Linked DNA regions of Saccharomyces cerevisiae S288C. The protein of the gene in region 1 interacts with the protein of each later gene in a biochemical or structural test. Each region holds a gene or a part of one and is shown on either strand. Other genes may lie near its edges.

Region 1 (6,405 bases):
AATATTGGAAAGTCTTAAGGATGTTAGATTGACATTTGAAGAGTTCCAATCTCCGATATATAGAAAACCATTGATCAAGAGGGAACTATTCGATGTCAAACATCAGCTAATGTTAGAGACAGATGCCCAATCCAACAACAACTCCACGGAACTGGACATTTTACTAGGTGATACTTCTGAAGATTTGAGAAAGAACATCTATGAAGGTGGGTTGAAATCATGGGAGTGCTCTTATGATTTAGTTGATTTGTTGTCAGAGAACGTTGATAGAATAAGCAACGATATCGACGCGGTTGTCGAAATAGGCTGTGGTACGGCACTACCCTCAGAGTTTCTTTTCAGATCTGCTCTTCTACGGAATGATAGAAGTAAAGGTTTAAAGTTTGTTTTGACTGACTATAATGCCAGTGTATTAAGATTAGTTACCATACCGAATTTGGTTATAACATGGGCTAAAACGGTTTTGACAAAGGAACAATGGTACGCCTTACAGAAAGACGAATGTGAAGATATTCCAATAAATAATGAGGAACTGCTTCTTACCTCAAAGCTGTTAGCTGCCTTTTACGACGATGTACAAAGCAGGAATATCAGCGTCACTCTTATATCAGGATCGTGGGGACGTAAATTTAGTAATTTGATCCATGAAGTACTCTCAGGTAGCCAAAAAGTCCTTTCATTATCCTCAGAAACAATTTATCAACCTGACAATTTGCCCGTTATAGCGGAAACAATACTTGACATACACAATTTACCACAAACCGATGTCAAAACTTACGTAGCCGCAAAGGATATTTATTTTGGAGTCGGTGGTAGCATCACTGAATTTGAAGCTTATTTGGACGACAAAATAAACTCCGAACATCTACCAATTCATTCTGAAAGGTTTAAAGTTAACTCTGGCTTAAAAAGGTCGATTATATGCATTGAAACAAATAAAGCTATCCGATAGTTAGTATAATTTGTTTCAACTTCATTTCCTTAAGTTAATCCATAAGTCTTTTACTGTATCTTTTATTTATAACATGGATGAAAATAGAAAAGAAATATAGAAGTAAAAATTAAAGTAACTGTTCAATATACATAATATAATTGGAAAGCAAAAATGCAACCAACAAAAATATACAGTTTCTTTTTATCATTGATTCCCTTTTAGCCTTATTTGCTAATTCTGGCTTTCATGATTTGTAAGAATTCTCTGTAACTTTCGTTATTCAAAATCTTATCCTCCACTAAGGTGCTAGAAGCCCATAGTCTTAGCGTTGCAACTTCCCTAGCAGATGCATGGTTAACGGGCTCGCTCAAAGAGGCACCCCTAACAATATACAATGATTGGTAAGTGATGACATCATCATGGTTTCTCAATTGGTTGATAATGTTTCTTACTCTTTGATTGAATTCAGAATTTTCAACAACAGGTATTTCCTGTTTGCCAATTGGAATGTCAAAGATATCCTGTGTTCCAAACACATCGAATACTAGCGCTGGTACAGCGTCACCACCCATCCACAAAAACAATTCGTTACCATTATCTATCAAGTATAGACCGTATCTTTCAAACAACGAAGAGGTAGCATTGATTGGTTGAGGCAAAACAATTGTGCCAGTAGCTTCACCATCTTCAGTTTGCACTGGTAACCCAGCCTCATCAGCCATATCATGCAGCGAATAAACATCAGGGTAGATGTTTTTGATTAGATATTTCAAAGGTAATGATTCTAAGTTGTTCAAGGCCGAGGCGCGATGGTCACTTGGGACAATACCAGATCTAAATGCCATATGCTTAGTTAAAGAATGCATTAACAATGGGAACATTCTCAAATTGGCACATAACCTCAATGGGGCCCCCCCTGCAGTGTTGGACACCACTATTTCCTTCTTGTACGTGGCTAAGATATCTTGCACGGATTTGTTGATCAATACTCTTGCATCGTCCAAACTGGAATTCAATGCTTTCTCCACCGCCTTCGAGTTGTAAAACGACGCTATAGCTAATTGGTCAGCAGATGCGTAGACTTCTGCCAACGATTCCGTGGTTGGCATAGCCAATGTTATAATTCTTATTCTACGTTGACTATTATTCAGAGATAAAAGTACCGCTACTTGAACATAACAATAGTCAGCCATAATGGATTCATCAACGTTAACTTCGAATAAGTATGATTGATCTCTTGGCATGGTGGAAAATGCACATAAATCAGATGATCTATTGAAGAAGTGACCATAGAATCTACTCATTCTCAAACCTGTGGAACCACGGGCTCTCATTACGGTTTCCATACAGAAATCCATGGAAATGTGCTTGGCAAACTCAGTGGAAAATTTGACAATATCATTTGGGTTCTTGCCTGAAAAACCAGGATAGAAATGCGTTTGACCAGCAGTGAAACGACTCAAATTCGATAGTGATGCAACGTCCATATAATCTTCAGAAGCCAAAAATAAATCGACAGTAATCTGTACTTTAGAACAATCGATGGTGAAATTCTTATAAAATGAGTCTTGACAGGAAAGTAGTTGTGCAGTTTCCTTGGATGTATTAACAACACCACTTTCATTTCTCCTTTGTAATTTTCCTATGCCTAAGTTGGGCAAAGTACCTGACACAACAATTATTTTACCACCAACGCCACCAATTAAATGATAAGCGGATTTCAAAGCGGGGCCCAGTGCGAAATTTGTGATTAAATTAGATTGGAAGATTTGAGGAATCTTGGTCAATAAAGTTTCAATGTTTTGTCTGCAGGCCTTTAAGGACACAACCATAGAGTTTGGTCTGGGCAAGAAAGGCTCTTCCAGGTCGGCAATATCCATCATGTTGATTTGATCGGCGGACTCTTCATTGTTTTCAGAATCCAATGGGATTTTAAAGTAGTGAATGGCGTTGTCTACACATAAGATGGAAATTCTGGTTCTTTCATCATGGTTTGGAATGGAATCAAGATTTTGCAAAAGGGTGTTGATGGTAGTGGCCAGTAACCCACTCTTGATAGAGGACTGGGAGACATCGATCAGGAAACAGTAAGTGGCTGGAGGTGGTTGTCTTAGAGTATATTCCTTTGGGGCCATATATTCCATCACAGCACATTTGATTTCATTTCTGTCGTATCTACTCTTTGGGTCGTTTGGATCGCTCTGGTCCATTTGCATAGGAACGTCATTGGCCAGACGACAAAAGTTACATCTCCATCTTCTGCCTTGCTCGATAAAAGTGACAAAAGGGTTCATGTAAGAACGACAACGACGACAACGGACAATAAGTCCATCTTCATTCAATGGAGGCGGGTCGATATCGTCGTACAAGTGTTGGTATGGTCTGATAACAAGCCCAAATGGAAGTTTAGACTTCTTCAGCAGGGAGCTGTTCTTAGGAACGGCGTTCAAGGTCGACCTGATATAATCTGGAGACGCATTGGACAATTCAGAAGGAACTAACATCCTTTCTGGAGGAATAACCAACGGTGGGGGAGGCAAGGTCAGATCGGTAATTGGAGGAGGCAATTCCGTCAACAGATCGATTGGATACAACTGGTTCATGGGCCTCATGTTTTGGCCCATTGCGGCGCTAGGTTGGCCATACGCAGGCGCTGCCATTGGTTGTTGCTGTTGCTGCAAAGGTGTGCCCATTTGCACGGGAACCTGTGGCTGCATATAAGCGTTAGGATCGACTAGCGGTACGTTGTGCAGATGCATATCGTTCATGGAAGTGGTGGCCTGATCAATTTGCTGGTGTAACTGTTCTTGAGCAGGGGTTAGGAATTGTTGCTGCCCCATGGAAGGGACTGCACCCTGTGGCGGCATTCCCATCTGACCATAGCTCATTCCAGCTGCAGCAGGATCCTGCGGAGGCATGAATTGTGCTGGCTGTTGTAGAGGGGTGGCATTTTGTCCATACTGGAGCTGAGCTTGTGGGTAAACACGTTTCTTGTGATGAGACATTTTGCAGATGGTCTCAGACTTATATATTTATGTCTGTTTCAATGCGGCAAAAATGGACCTGAGTGCCAGATAAAACCTTTTTGTAGTGCTATTTTTGGCCTGTTTCCTGATGTACCATCCTCCTTACATAGTTTTGTTTTTCTTCGTTTTCGTTCTTCCAGTTTTCATTTTCTTCTGCCGTAAATGGAAAAAACAAGAAAAAAAAAAAGAGAACAGCTAAGCGTTAACAAATCTGCTCCAGTGGCCATGTCCAAGACTGTTTTTCAAGCCCAGATAGTGCCTGAATAGACTGCATTAAGCTGAAAAACTTATAGCAGTGGTTAGTGCAAAATGCACACTTGTCAGTGCTATGTATATTTGTGACACGATTCTATCACCCAAACATAGCACTAATTACTTTTTTGTTACCCGGCATTCTAGGCGGAAATTTGCTGAAATTTTCCATCAATTAATTACGTAACCTATTCTTTTAAGAGCATGATGTTGTATATAAATATAGATCACCTTAGGAACAGTCAGGCTTTCTTAGGTTTCAGAAGTTCATGTGTCTTGGCGCAGTCAATTCTCTCGATCTTTTTTTGGTTTGGACGTTTAAGAGTAGCGGTCGCCGGAAAATAGAGAGAAAAAGGAAATTTAAAAGGAGTTCTTCTTTCTTCTTATTATTAGATCGTATACAGTAAAAAAAAAAAAAGGAAGTAGTAGTTCGAAGAGAAAGAAATAAATGGTAGGCTCGAAGGATATTGATCTATTCAACCTGAGAGAGAACGAGCAAATCGTTTCTCCTTGTCTTATCGTGCACGGAAAATGCAATAAGCAAAATGGTGCGAAGACCGTTCAAGTGCAGCATCCACAATTGCCTCCAATTACTTACCCCATACATAATCAGTTCTTCAAGGCCACTGTGATATTGACTCCTGGTGAGAACAAGTTGACCTTTGTTACAGACACTAACACCGCTAGGACAATCGTATGTTACTACACACCACTGACGCAGAACCCTCCCGTACACCTGTGTCTGATCTTGGCCAAGGATTCGCCTTTACAGTTTGACTCTCCTCGAGAACAGAAGGACAGAGAGGGCGGGAATGGCCTCGAATTGGCAATCAAGAAGCTAAGACTTGGGGCCAGACTCATGCAAGCGTACACGAACGAGCAAATGCTGAGAAACAGTATGGGAAATAGGACGTTTCCCTTTGTTGAAGAATTTACCTGGGACACGCTGTTCGAACGGCCTGCTATGAGAAACACCATCAAAATACATGTAGTTCGTTCGGAAAAGACGGTGAAGGAAATCCAGGACCCTGACATAGCTCAACAGAATTCCAAAGGGAAAAACACCGGCGCCCTTTTTGGGATAGCCATGGACGCCCTTAAAAGTTACGGCGGACCCTTCACCAATAACGAAAAGCCTGTTCAGGCAGCTTGTATGTTTCTAGACACCCACTGGGATGGTAAGTTGATTAGAGGCCACGCCGCATTGGGTGGGGGTGACGACAGCATTAAGCTCGCCATTTTTGGGTCGCACGGGCTTTACTCATGGCCTACTTGTCTCGAGCAATTGGTGCCTTATTTTACTGATGAGACAAGATCCTCCACCAGTGAAGTCGCCAACGACTGTAATGAGTGTGGTACTTACTGGGAATGTTTGACTATCACGTTGGGAGCATTTATGCATGAGATTGGTCACTTACTGGGTTGTCCTCATCAGGAAAGCGGTGTTATGCTAAGAGGCTATACCACTTTGAATAGGTCTTTCTTGACTAAAGAGGCTTATTCTGTAAGAACTAATTCAACTGGTGCTAGTCCTCCCATCTTCCCCAAGGAAGAATGTACCTGGAACCGTCTCGATACGGTAAGATTTTTGTACCACCCCTCTTTCACTTTACCACAGGATTATTACGATCCATCGTTCATGAGACCTACAAAATTGGGCGGATACCCCAATATAAAACACTCTGTATATCCTTTGGGTAACGGCAGTTGCCGCATATTATCGCCCACAGGAATCTATTTGATTGAAATTATATGTGATGATTTGGCCAGGGGCCATATTGAATACTTGCCGGTTTCCCTAGGTGGACAGGGGCCTCAACGGGAAGTTATAGTAACATTAGATGATTTACGTGCCAGGTTGCCCAAGAATGAACTCGCCAAGTTTGGCAATACCTTCAAATTGAAAATTCTTTCTGTTAATGCACCGGAAACCGAGTTCGACAAGTTCCCATCTTTGTTAGATGTTCAGCCATTAGACATGTCGAAATATGGGTTTTCTAAAAATGTTCAAGGTATCAAATCACCACTTTATGGTCGCAGCGACGGTGGTAATGCTGTCGGCGTCGTCGCTTTTGATGTTAGATTAGTCACTGCTGTGAGAATATACCATGGCTATGCATTAGATGGTGTGAGGTTTTATTACAAGGAAAAACCAACTGGAACAAAGGATGCTCCCGCATCCAAGCCCTCTGT
Region 2 (3,805 bases), on another chromosome or scaffold:
CGTTTCTCAAAGCAGGAACTTTTCAGAAGTAAATGACGTGTTAGACCCGCTTTCTAGTTTGCATGGTCCGTCCAAGAAGGTGAGATTTGAACAGCAAAAGCAGCAACAGCAACATCAGCAACTTCACAATGACTTCAATACAGATTTCAACCTGAAAAGCCCGTCCAGTAAAAAAATGGGGGTAGAACAGCTGATCCAGTCAGCCAATGAAATCAACGATTACCTCGCTAACAACATTGACAAGGTAAATAGCTTTAACTCAGAGCTATTGAGCGGCAGTGGCAAGTTACCTGGGAGAGTAAAGAGTGACACAGCAACTCAAGGTACCGGACGCTTAGATTCCATGTCCAACTTTGCTCTTAGCGATACGGAGTTGGACAATGATGACGATAATTATCTCCTGGATCCCCTTGCAAATGCTAGCTCTACTACACCCACTGTGGAACACCACGGTTACAGCTTATTAGACAAGGCTTTATCCACGTCTGATAAGGAAAAAATATATACGAATAAAGTGAATTCGAATAGTCAGATAGATACTGATAATCACTCTCACGAAAGTGGAAACACTACCAATAACGAAACAGATGAAAATGAGAGTTCGGAGATCCTGGACTACACAAAATTTGATTCTTTCCCCTATCCCCCGTCTTCTGCCCCCAATGGGGAACCACCAGATTTGAAAGTGCTAAGCATTGAATGTGAGCAGGAAAATGAAAAAGAGCTACGACGAATATCTTTATTATTGGATCATTACGAATCAATACCGAAAATACCAGAATTGTCAGACGATGAAGCACTATCTAAGTTCCGTGAGAATATCGAATTAATTTTACAACTATCTAAGAAAATTAACGATAATGCGAACACTTTAGCGATTTCCTCCGAAGATCCTCAAAAATTTGTTAATTTTGTGATGAAGAACCCACCTTCCTTATCATTCAGAGATTTTATCGACAGAATCCAGAATAAATGCATGTTTGGTGCCGTAGTCTATCTTGGAGCCACCTATCTACTTCAACTTGTGTTTCTTACGAGAGACGAAATGGACGGTCCCATAAAGTTGAAGGCTAAATTACAGGAGGACCAAGCCCATAGGATCATCATATCTACAATAAGAATTGCCACCAAGCTATTAGAAGACTTTGTCCACTCACAAAACTACATTTGCAAAGTCTTCGGTATTTCAAAAAGACTGCTGACCAAACTGGAAATTTCTTTCATGGCGAGTGTTAATTTCGATGGATTAATGATTACTTGTGAAAAATTAGAAAAAACATTGCATATCCTTGATGATACAAGACAGGCATTAGGAAACACATGAGTTTTGCATATGTATTATGCAGGTTCATTTGTTCCTTCCCTTATTTCTTTTCATAGTATTTATTTTTATTTATTTATTTATTTTTTTTTGGATTTTATTTTATTTCTTTTTTAATGCTAAGAAAGTAATTCCGCATAATTAAACGTGTGCTGGCCTCGATAGGTACCTATAGTATACAGAAGCTTACGAAAAGCTCCTGCAGGATGGCACTTCTAAAATTCGCGCTCAACATGGCCGTATTGTACATTATATCGTTCTATCATTATATCGTATACGCCCGCATTACCCGACAACTCCGTCTGCAACGCGTTGACCAGAAAACTCGAACAAGAGATCGCATAAAAAACCAAAAGGAAACGAATTACTTGTCAAATAGTTATTGTAATGGATCCTCTAGAAAGGCAAACAGTAGATTTATTTCCTTCTTTTCTAGAAACATCATTATAACTAACAATATATAATTGGAATAATGGCTGGTTGGGATATTTTTGGTTGGTGTATGTTATCACCCTGTTCACGTTTTTCGGATACTTAGTTTTATTCAATGTGGTAAACATTGAATGTTTTCAGCTTAAGATCTATTTTTTTTTTTCTAGAAGAAATTGCGTCCTTTACTAACTTTATTTTACTGTACAGTCAGAGATGTGTTGGCTTCCCTTGGTCTGTGGAACAAACATGGTAAACTACTTTTCTTGGGTTTGGATAATGCCGGTAAGACCACATTGCTACATATGTTAAAGAACGATAGATTGGCAACCTTACAACCAACATGGCATCCAACTTCTGAAGAACTGGCTATTGGTAACATTAAGTTTACAACTTTCGATTTGGGTGGTCATATTCAAGCTCGTCGTTTATGGAAGGATTATTTCCCAGAAGTTAATGGTATCGTCTTTTTAGTCGATGCTGCTGACCCTGAAAGATTTGATGAAGCACGTGTCGAATTAGATGCTTTATTCAACATTGCCGAATTGAAGGACGTTCCTTTTGTAATTCTTGGTAACAAGATCGATGCTCCAAACGCCGTTTCTGAAGCGGAGCTACGTTCTGCTTTAGGATTATTGAATACCACTGGCTCTCAAAGAATTGAAGGTCAAAGACCAGTTGAAGTTTTCATGTGTTCCGTTGTTATGAGAAATGGTTATTTAGAGGCGTTCCAATGGTTATCTCAATATATTTAATTGACGTATACATCTATACCCTTTATATGACATTCACATGAATTCAACAGCTTTGTAATAATCAACAAAATTGCATAGGATGCCACCTCATAACTTTTGAGCACAGCATTTCCGCGATCATAGTATATTTTAGACTCTAAGATTGAATAAAAGTATGATACATCTTAAGTATACATATATATATGTATATATATATATATACATGAAAGTTTACCTCCTCATCTTACGTGGACGAGATTCATCGTCACCGCCCATAGTTGTTCTTTTACCATTCTGGGCGAAGTATTCTTTCTTTTTCTCCTTATCCCTTTGTGATTTTTCTTCCTCCATCTTAGCTAATTTTTTCAATCTTTCCTTACGTTGACTAGCCTTCTGTTCCTTCCTCTTGCTGTCTTTGGCTTTCGAAATCGTCAATACTTTTTGAATGAATGATCTTGCCTTCTTTTCATCACCACCTAGCACCACGGCTCTTTTAGCCATATATGTTTTCTTCTTTTGTGGTTTCATTTGATGGATCTGAGATTTGAATGGCAATTCCTTTTGAACAGCTTTTGGGACCTTTAGACCATTGAAGTGTCTTTCTACACGTTCTATTTTATGATATGCACTGTCCGGATTCGACGGTGTTTCCAGGTTCATAGCCGCTCTTATTTGGCCTGTCAATCTTAAACCTTTCCACTCGGTTTTTTCCTTCAACAATAGTGAGGTAACAGGATTATAGAATTTCTTGACGCGGACAGGATACCATGATCTTAGAATTACAATATCACTCATTAGGATTTTATCCTCAAAGGCTGCCCTATAGTGACCCTCAGGCTTTGAAAGTGCCCTTTTGATTTCACCACGGATACCCGAGACAGTTTTGATCTGCGCACCCTCAAACCTTGCAACTTCCATAGCACTTGAAAACATGTCCTTTATAAAGGCAGTATTTTTGAAAATTTTATATGGAAACCCAACTAATTTTAACTTTTTAACAATTTCAATATTAACGTCTATCTCTTCAACGATACCTGTTGCTGCAATTCTAAAACCGTTCCCGGTATCACTATTAGCAACAATTTGAACACCACAAAAAGGTGTGTTTGGAGAACATAAGGGACCGTAGAAAGCCGCATTACAATATGTGTGTTCTGGTGTATACTTTAGCATTCTGGTTCTTGTTCTAGAGTCAGTTGTTGTATAAATTGGTAAAGTTTGGAACCTTCTCCAACCCAAAGACAAGACCAGTGGGTCATTTGTCTTCAAAATCTTCTTATGCCAACGATGTCTTCTCAACCTGGCTTTGACAATACCGAAC
Region 3 (8,319 bases), on another chromosome or scaffold:
CAAGAAAATGAGGTATGATAGAATAATATTAGTATAAGCAAAGTTTCAGATCGCATTCATCTGATTTCTTACTGACAACGATGCATAACCTAAATACGGATTCCTGTAATCATTGTTTTAATAAAATTTACTACGGTTTTTATAAGTATATAATATACATCAAGAAAAGGGAAGGCATAAGGGTACCATGAAAGAAAAACGTATTACTATAATTATTGTATGTTATCCATTACATTAACATAGCCTCTCGCTGTTTTCTTCTTCCTTCTCGTACTTGCTGGTTTGGGTCCTCCTGCCAAACTCAATAAATCATCCAAACCGTTTGCCTTTTTGCTAGTCAAGTTTACGCCAGAAATCCTTGATATGGGAGAGGATGGTGATGGAGAATTGTTTGGATTGGGTCCTGTAGGAGAAGGGGATGTTTTGATCGGCAAAGGCTCACCAGTGATTGGATTGTTCGGAATAACTGATGTGGCATGTACTGGAGGTAGGGAATTATTGATGGGGCCTGAACGTGGCTTTGTCTTTGGGCCGCCATCTTTACGTTTCACGATTGGAGGAGGTGGTGGTGCCGAACTTTCAATAATTTTTTGTTTTTCCTCTTCGGTTGCGTCCTTATTCACCCAACGTTTCAATTTTTCATCATAGTATAGTGTGTTTTTATGACCTAGCTTGGCCTTATACACTTTTTTGTCGCCAGTATCTTTCTTCAACCAACCAAACCAACCATTAGACTTGTCATCTATGTCCTTGTTACTTGGTTTTGTTTCCTTTTTCATATTCACATTCTTTTTTTCTTCCTTTCTGTTCTTTGCCTCATCAGTAGACATATTGTCGTCATCGGATTCATCTTCAATAACGTCATTGTATTTATCCGCATCTGATTCCAACGGTTTAAAAGCCCTGTATTGGTTAGTTGAAGCCTTCCTAATAGTAGGTTGAAAAGTGTCTTTCTCGACGACTTCGGCTTTCTTTATTGGGCTGAATCTATTTTCTGAAGCAACATTTCCATTACTTTGTGCCTGGGATGTTGATTCAGATAATTCGAATGAAGCAGTTTCATTTGCTTGGTTGACCAAAGGAAAGTATTGTGATGGATTGGATGCATGTGCTTGGTGAGTTCTTGCATATATAGCAGGCGATGTTTTCAGAATCGTTGATTCATCGCCATCTGCACTAGCGGCAGTTGATTGAGGCACGTATGGTGAGTAGTTCATTTTGGTTGCGTCAGTACTTTTTGGCTTTGGTGGTGCCATATGTTGCTCCACAAGTTTGGATGCTTTATTATTAACATTTCTTGGAACATCTTGCACTTGAGAAATTGGTTTAGCTTCCATTGAAATACTTCCTGCTGGCAAGTATGTGGATTGAACTGTCTCTGAGATACTGTTTTCATCCTGAGTTAGCGGTCTGTTTTCGAGTGACAATCCACCAGTTGATGGTAAATATGCTGATGATGCTGATTTTGAAATGTTTTCTGGCTGCTCCTCGCTACTTCTTTCATTTTCAATGGAGGGAAGTGAATTTTCCATTTTCGATGCATCAGTACCCCGGACCTCCACGTTAGTTTGAAGAATCGGTTGGATATCGTCACTAATAGTTTGTATAGGATTTACTGTAGACGTAGGCTGGTGGTTGGGCTCCATAGGAAGAAGATTCTTCACATCGTTGAAGCCAGGTCCTTCAATATCCATTGTTTCATCTGTAACATCTGCAGAGTCTTTTAATGTATTTTGATCAGCATTGCTATTATCATGTGATGTGTGAGATTCATCTTCAGGCATACTTTTTTGAGAATGTTTGTTACCAAAATCATTGTATCCCGTCTCATGAACTTGCGGGACGACAGGGTCGATAGGCAAAGCTTCCACACTTGGTGAGTACATAAGCGATCCCTGCGAGGAATTAGCTTTAGTAGGTACCCCAATTTTGGGAGGAGGAAGAAATTCTGATCCGGTAGATATGATAGACTCCCTTCTTACTAAGTCAGGACTAGACACATAATTAGACGGCACTGTTCCAAGTTTGGGTGGAGCAGGGAAGTCGGCAAATAAAGATGGCACATTCGAATTAGACTTTTCCATTGGAACGCTATGGTTCTGTCCAAATTGTGGAGTGTAGGCCGTAGACTTTTTCTCTAAAATCTGCTGACTCTTCAAAGCCTTTTCGTTTGTATGCTGGTCTGTTCTAACTCTTCTCAAAGAAGCCATTTGAGGCTCAGCAGCAGCGAACTGTGTATTATGAATGCGCTGAGGAGATCCCTGCAAACTATCACCGATCCTATGCGTATACGGTAAGTTTGCTTCAACTAACCCCTTTGACACATTGGAAGGCTTTGAATGCAGCACACTATGGCTTGGTACATTATGGGCATTATGCAAAAGAGCTGTAGTATCCACATAGCTTTGCGAAGTAACTTGAGCTTGGAAAGGTGTGAATGTTTGGGTGAGATCCACAGTTGACGAATTGGCAGAAGATCCCGGTGTGAACCCATCAAAAACTTTCTTTTTATCATTTTTTTTATTCAATGCATCAATATCATCGCCACCAATATATTTATTGAAGGATTTATCTAATTGACCCCATACGCTGCTTAGTTTTGGTTTTGCAAGCCATCCTGTATTAGACTCGGAAAGCCTACTAGCCACCTCACTCAATTCACGAGTGAGGTTTATTGTTAAAATATCTTTCTTAGGCAGTTTTCGAACTGAGGAACTGAGGTAATCAGTATACTTTGTCCCCAGGCTGTTCAAACCTTGTTCTTGTAAAAGAGATGCATGGTATATCTTCTGGGGCAAAATAGATGAAAATCCTTTGAATTTAGGGTCATACGAGAATATATACTCGTAGATTTCATCCCATAGAATGCTTTCAAAAGTATTCATGTTTCCAATACTTTCAAATATAACGTCTGAATCTGCCATTACTGGCTCATTAGAAAGTGGTACGTTACCAATAATAAATAATGTACTAGCTGCGGCTGTCAAGCCCTTTTTGGTGAGGAATATACCGAACTCTATCAAAAATTCAAGGACAACAGGTGGTATAAGTAGTGGATCTTCATTATTTTCTGGGATATTAATCAGAACAGCTGCAACGATACTCTTCCAGTTTTCGGATGCCCATTGACTGGTCTCATTATTAGTGTAGAAACTTTTTATGGCCATTTTGGAGTTACCAACAAATACTTGAAAGATAAGGAGCAGAAAGTGTGCCAATTCTTTTTGGTCGTTTGGCCCCGCAGTAAACCCTTCATATAAATATTTCTGAATGACTTCAGACCATCTGTCTTTACCCATTAAACTGCCAACCAATAGTGCAATGGCATAATCCCTCTTGCTTAAAGCTAAGCGAAGTGCCTCATCGTGATTTCCCGTTTGTAAGAACGCCAGGACTCTCATCTGACAATTTATATCCAGTCTATATGCATTTGGAATCATGTCACCGTTTGGAAAGGGCTGAGATAGGTACATTAAAAGTTCGTCAGAATTGTATAGTAGTTTTGAAATATTTTTCCAGTTAACTTTATCGTTTAGTTTCATTTCCAATAGTTGCCATATAGTCATATCAGTGGATGATTCATTTTCAGATATGGATTTAATAGTGGTTTCCATCCATTTGGTTAAATCCTTTTTTTTTAATTTGGCACTACCCAAAGGACCTGGGAAGCTTTTGAGCATATCGTTCGGTTTAATTATCTGGTCAATTGGTGTCACTTTTATTTCCTGTACAATGCTTGATGAAATCATGTACTGCGATTGGTCAGGGATAGGGGGGACTGCGTACACGACCTTGTTTGCAGCACTCCAATGAAAAATCGGAAATTGACGGCGTAATAAAGCCTCGTTGTCTATTTTAATTGGATTATTTTCCTGTCGTGGTGGTGCAACACTACTTGTAGCTCGATGCGTGATAATTTCTGGCAGTATGTTTTCAGCAAGTGGCAAATTTGCAAGAGGTAGTGAATTTGCAGCCGTTATGTTGCTTGCACGGGGTTGCAAGTTCGTAGCGGCTTGTAAGGGGTCTAGAGGTCGTAAGGGGGCTAAAGGTAAAATGCCAGTAGGCGGTTGAATGTTCGCGTGAGGCTGAATACTTGCTGAAGTTTGAGCCTGGGGCATCATAGGAACTGCATAAGAACTTCGGGTTTGGCTTTGATAGCTTGAATTCCCAGCTACAGGACCAACAGGTTGTGAGGTATATGGCACCTGATAAGATTGTTGATAGTTGGGTGCGTATCTAGAGGCGTGTTCATTCTGGTTTGGTGTATACGAACTAATAGAGCTTGTATGGCCTCTATGGGTCTTTACAAAATTGGGGGTATTTACGGCCGAAGCGCCAAGGTTTTGCACAACTGATGGATATTGCTTCTGCTGAACTGTAGGAGAGACGGGGGCATACTTATTCGCAGTTGGCAAATTTATGGTAGCTTGACCATATGGCGAAACCGGAGGTACCCCGTTATTGAGGCCGTACTGTGTTGCATGTCTAGCACCAAAAGACGCTGAACTTCCCACGGAGGCATTGCTGACCCCTCTTGCCCGAATTGGAGGAGCAGAAACGGTGGTTTCCACTTTTAATGCTGGGGGAGGTATGTTGGTATTTGGTAAAGGCATACCTGATTGGATAGGAGCCTGTTGTAGTTGTTGAATTTTGTATGGGTTAGGGAAAGCATAATTAACGGGAGATTGCGAGATCGCTGAGTTAGTTCTCGAAGATCGAGGCTCCTGCGTCCCCAATGGGATCACGGGTGGCCTATTTGAGTTATTAGAGCCTTTCCTGCTCTGTGGAATTGGTTTGTCCAAAGAACTAAAAGAATTCCCTGAGCCAAACCTTTGAGTAGGAACGGCAACCGGCTTTGCGTGACCCTTCTTGGAACTTTCTGAAATAATTTCCAGTGGAAAATCGTAAGCATCAGACTTCTTTTTCTCCTCATTTATCTTAAAATTTGAACGATTGTCTTTTACCACAGGAGGCTTAGGACTAACTATATTTGGTACACTGACTTGTTGGTTGGGGGTGCCTAGTCCAGTTTTAGTCAAACCGTGGAACTGCTGCGGTGTTACAATGCCAGTAGTATTGGTAAAATGAACTTGCTCTTGACGCATTCCTGCTTCCTCCTCGATAATAGGTTTATATCTTGAAGCCTTTTTTTCTTCAACTGGTTTTGAGGTTAAATTCGTTGTATTATCGGTATTAGGTACTGTGTCTTCTTCCTCAGAAGAAGCCAAAAAGCTGTCGTCGTCGTCCAAAAGGTCGTCGTCGTTTTCCAAAAACGAAAACTTTTGCTCAGCTATTTTCTCAGTACTAGTCTGCATGCTGTTTTCCGTCTTTCCCGATGATACTTCACCGTCAGAAACTTCCCAAGGAAGTTTCTCATCGTTTCCAGAAGCAGCAAATAAATCTTCATGTTTCTCTTGGGATTTGCTCGTTACATCAGCGTTTTTATCAGTAGATTCCCATGGCAAAACTTCTCCCAAGTCTCCGCTGCTCTGCGTAAACAAATCCTCGGCTTGATCTTGAATATCCTTACCAGGTTCTATAATGTCAGCTTCGGCAGACAACGGTAACTTATGATTCCCTTCCCCCATTAATTTCTGGCTTTCATTCTCAATATTTTTCCCAGTGAAATCATTTTGGCCTTCAACTACCTGTTTGTCGTGTCCGTGAAAGATATCTTCTGAAGTTTCTTCAGAGTACGACCTCTCGTCCGCGGCTGTACAACTTTCGGACTTTTTCAAAGCTTCGTTTCCTTCATAACCCTTATCACGATCATCTGTGTTCGGTGCCGATTCTTGAGTATTATTTGTGTTCTCATTATGAAAATCTTTCTTCACATCTTCCTCCCATGGAACCTTCTGATCACTTTCGTCATCTTGAAACAACATGGAGGTATCATCACCAGAATTTCTTATTTTATTCTCAGATGGTTCTGTACTAGACGTAAATAAGTTTTCTGCAGTTTCCTGATCAGCGATATCCTGTTTCTTTTCTTCGGTTGATACATGCGTTTCTAGTTTTAATCTTTCATCTTCTTCCTTTGAAAGTTCATCAGGAAGCACATTATTTGCGTTCAAACTAATTTCCTTATCATTACAATACTCATCGTCATTTATTTCATTGTCTTTTGTGCCTAGAGGAACATTGTGAGTTGGCGTATCACCAGAAGATAATTCTGGAGAAAGAAGATTGCCATCGGATGGGAGAAAATGATTATATTGAGAAGGGGTAGCATCGTTTAATGATGAAATTATTATGCTGTCGTGATTTTCACCCTCTTCTTCATTGAAAGAATCCTCTTCCACAGCGGATACGGCAATTTTCTGGGTATGTTCATTATTATTGTGAAGTTCTCCCGCGACTACATCGAGCGATGGATTTCTCGAAGATAAGTGAGCGGCAGTCTCTTCGTATTCTTGAGACATGGCTGGTTTTGTTTGGGTAATAACAGAGTCATGTTCAACGATTGAGTTGTCTGGCAAATCATTTGAGTCCGCGGTAATATCATGTTGATCAGAGTCGTTGAGCAGTTTATGATGCAATTCTTGAGTATCAGGTATTTCTAGTTGTGTTTCATTAGCCGGAGAGATATTGGTAGATGATGAGACCGGAGGAACATCAGATTTTGAAGCTATGTCAGATTCTGTACGGTTCACCGAGTCGTCGTTGAAGCTGCTGTTAATCGTACTTTCTGGTAATTCAAGTGGTTCTTCACTGTGGCTAGCAGCTTTCTCAGCAGCTTTTTTTTGCTTTTGCTTCAACTTCTTCTTTTGGTTTTTCCTTTTCTTGGCTTCAGGTGTCATTCTTAACACGTTATTAAATGAAGACTATACAAAATAATAGGTACAACGGTTTCCTTGGTTATGGCCAGTTAAATACCACTATTTTGAAAAGGGAATATTGATAACAGTTGTTGTCCAGTTTCTCAAGCAGGAGGGCTGCAAATATTCAATGACCAAAATCTTGTGTAACCTGCCAATTAACCTTTTCCGTATATCTTTCTCTTGCTCGTAAGTTTATAGTGGAAAATGCCACATGTACGGTCGCTTGAGGTTTGAAATTATGGATCAGAAAGTGATGATCACTTATAACGTTGTGTTATATTATTCAACAATGAGATATACAGCGATAAGACAGTGAGAGAAGGAGAAAGCACTTAAAAGAAGAAAGTCTTAACTTAGGATGAACTTCTGATTTTCAAAAGTCAATACTGCCACTGTTTGATTTTATTTTTCTGCCGCTTTCATTGTTTAATCATTTCACCTTTTATTATTTACTGTCACTGGCTCTTCCTCATGAAAAAAAAAAAATGGTCAAAAAATTTTGAAATTTAGTTAGCTCATCTCAAATTATCCAGTGCAAAGTTTTGAAATAAACAAGTCCTAAAAGCACCTAAGGAAAATCGAAGAACACCCTGACAAAGATGGCTCGTCATGGAAAAGGCCCAAAAACTAACAAAAAAAAGCTAGCACCTGAAAAGGAAAGGTTTATACAATGTTGTGCTGATATCACATTAGAGTTAACAGATTCTTTAACCTCGGGAACAACAAGAGAAATTAATCTGAATGGTTTGATTACTAAATATTCAAAGAAATATAAACTAAAGCAACAACCAAGGTTAACCGATATCATTAATTCTATTCCAGACCAATACAAAAAATATTTATTACCCAAATTGAAGGCTAAGCCAGTAAGAACAGCATCGGGTATTGCAGTGGTAGCCGTTATGTGTAAACCACATCGTTGTCCTCACATTGCATATACAGGTAATATTTGTGTTTATTGTCCAGGTGGTCCAGATTCAGATTTTGAGTATTCTACACAATCTTACACAGGCTATGAACCAACTTCAATGCGTGCCATCAGAGCTCGTTATGACCCTTATGAACAAGCACGTGGTAGGGTGGAACAATTGAAACAGTTAGGTCACTCCATCGATAAAGTCGAATATGTTCTGATGGGTGGTACATTTATGTCATTACCAAAAGAATATCGTGAAGATTTTATTGTGAAATTGCATAATGCACTTTCTGGGTTCAATGGTAATGATATTGATGAAGCTATTCTTTATTCGCAACAAAGTTTAACGAAGTGTGTTGGTATAACAATCGAAACTAGGCCTGATTATTGTACGCAAACACATTTGGACGATATGTTAAAATATGGCTGTACCAGATTAGAAATTGGTGTTCAGTCCTTGTACGAAGACGTTGCTCGTGATACTAATAGAGGACACACCGTTAGGTCTGTTTGTGAAACTTTTGCTGTGTCTAAAGATGCTGGTTATAAGGTTGTTTCTCACATGATGCCAGATTTACCAAA

The links. Proteins that work in one complex are often made in the same cells at the same time.
Region 2: the proteins of SEC24 (region 1) and SAR1 form a complex in vitro, tested with the Saccharomyces cerevisiae proteins (3 studies listed by BioGRID).
Region 3: the proteins of SEC24 (region 1) and SEC16 form a complex in vitro, tested with the Saccharomyces cerevisiae proteins (2 studies listed by BioGRID).

The regions. Positions count from the first base shown.
Region 1 is NC_001141.2:156,227-162,631, forward strand, and holds SEC24 (COPII subunit SEC24), read right to left. Parts: upstream 3,940-6,405; coding exon 1,159-3,939; downstream 1-1,158. Other genes in the region: HPM1 (protein-histidine N-methyltransferase), read left to right, coding at 1-952; YIL108W (putative metalloendopeptidase), read left to right, coding at 4,661-6,405. UniProt on the Saccharomyces cerevisiae protein: Component of the coat protein complex II (COPII) which promotes the formation of transport vesicles from the endoplasmic reticulum (ER).
Region 2 is NC_001148.4:136,905-140,709, forward strand, and holds SAR1 (Arf family GTPase SAR1), read left to right. Parts: upstream 1-1,793; coding exon 1,794-1,821; intron 1,822-1,960; coding exon 1,961-2,505; downstream 2,506-3,805. Other genes in the region: PCL8 (Pcl8p), read left to right, coding at 1-1,324; GTPase BMS1, read right to left, coding at 2,716-3,805. UniProt on the Saccharomyces cerevisiae protein: Small GTPase component of the coat protein complex II (COPII) which promotes the formation of transport vesicles from the endoplasmic reticulum (ER).
Region 3 is NC_001148.4:385,548-393,866, reverse strand, and holds SEC16 (COPII coat assembly protein SEC16), read right to left. Parts: upstream 6,801-8,319; coding exon 213-6,800; downstream 1-212. Other genes in the region: Elongator subunit ELP3, read left to right, coding at 7,421-8,319. UniProt on the Saccharomyces cerevisiae protein: Involved in the initiation of assembly of the COPII coat required for the formation of transport vesicles from the endoplasmic reticulum (ER) and the selection of cargo molecules. Also involved in autophagy.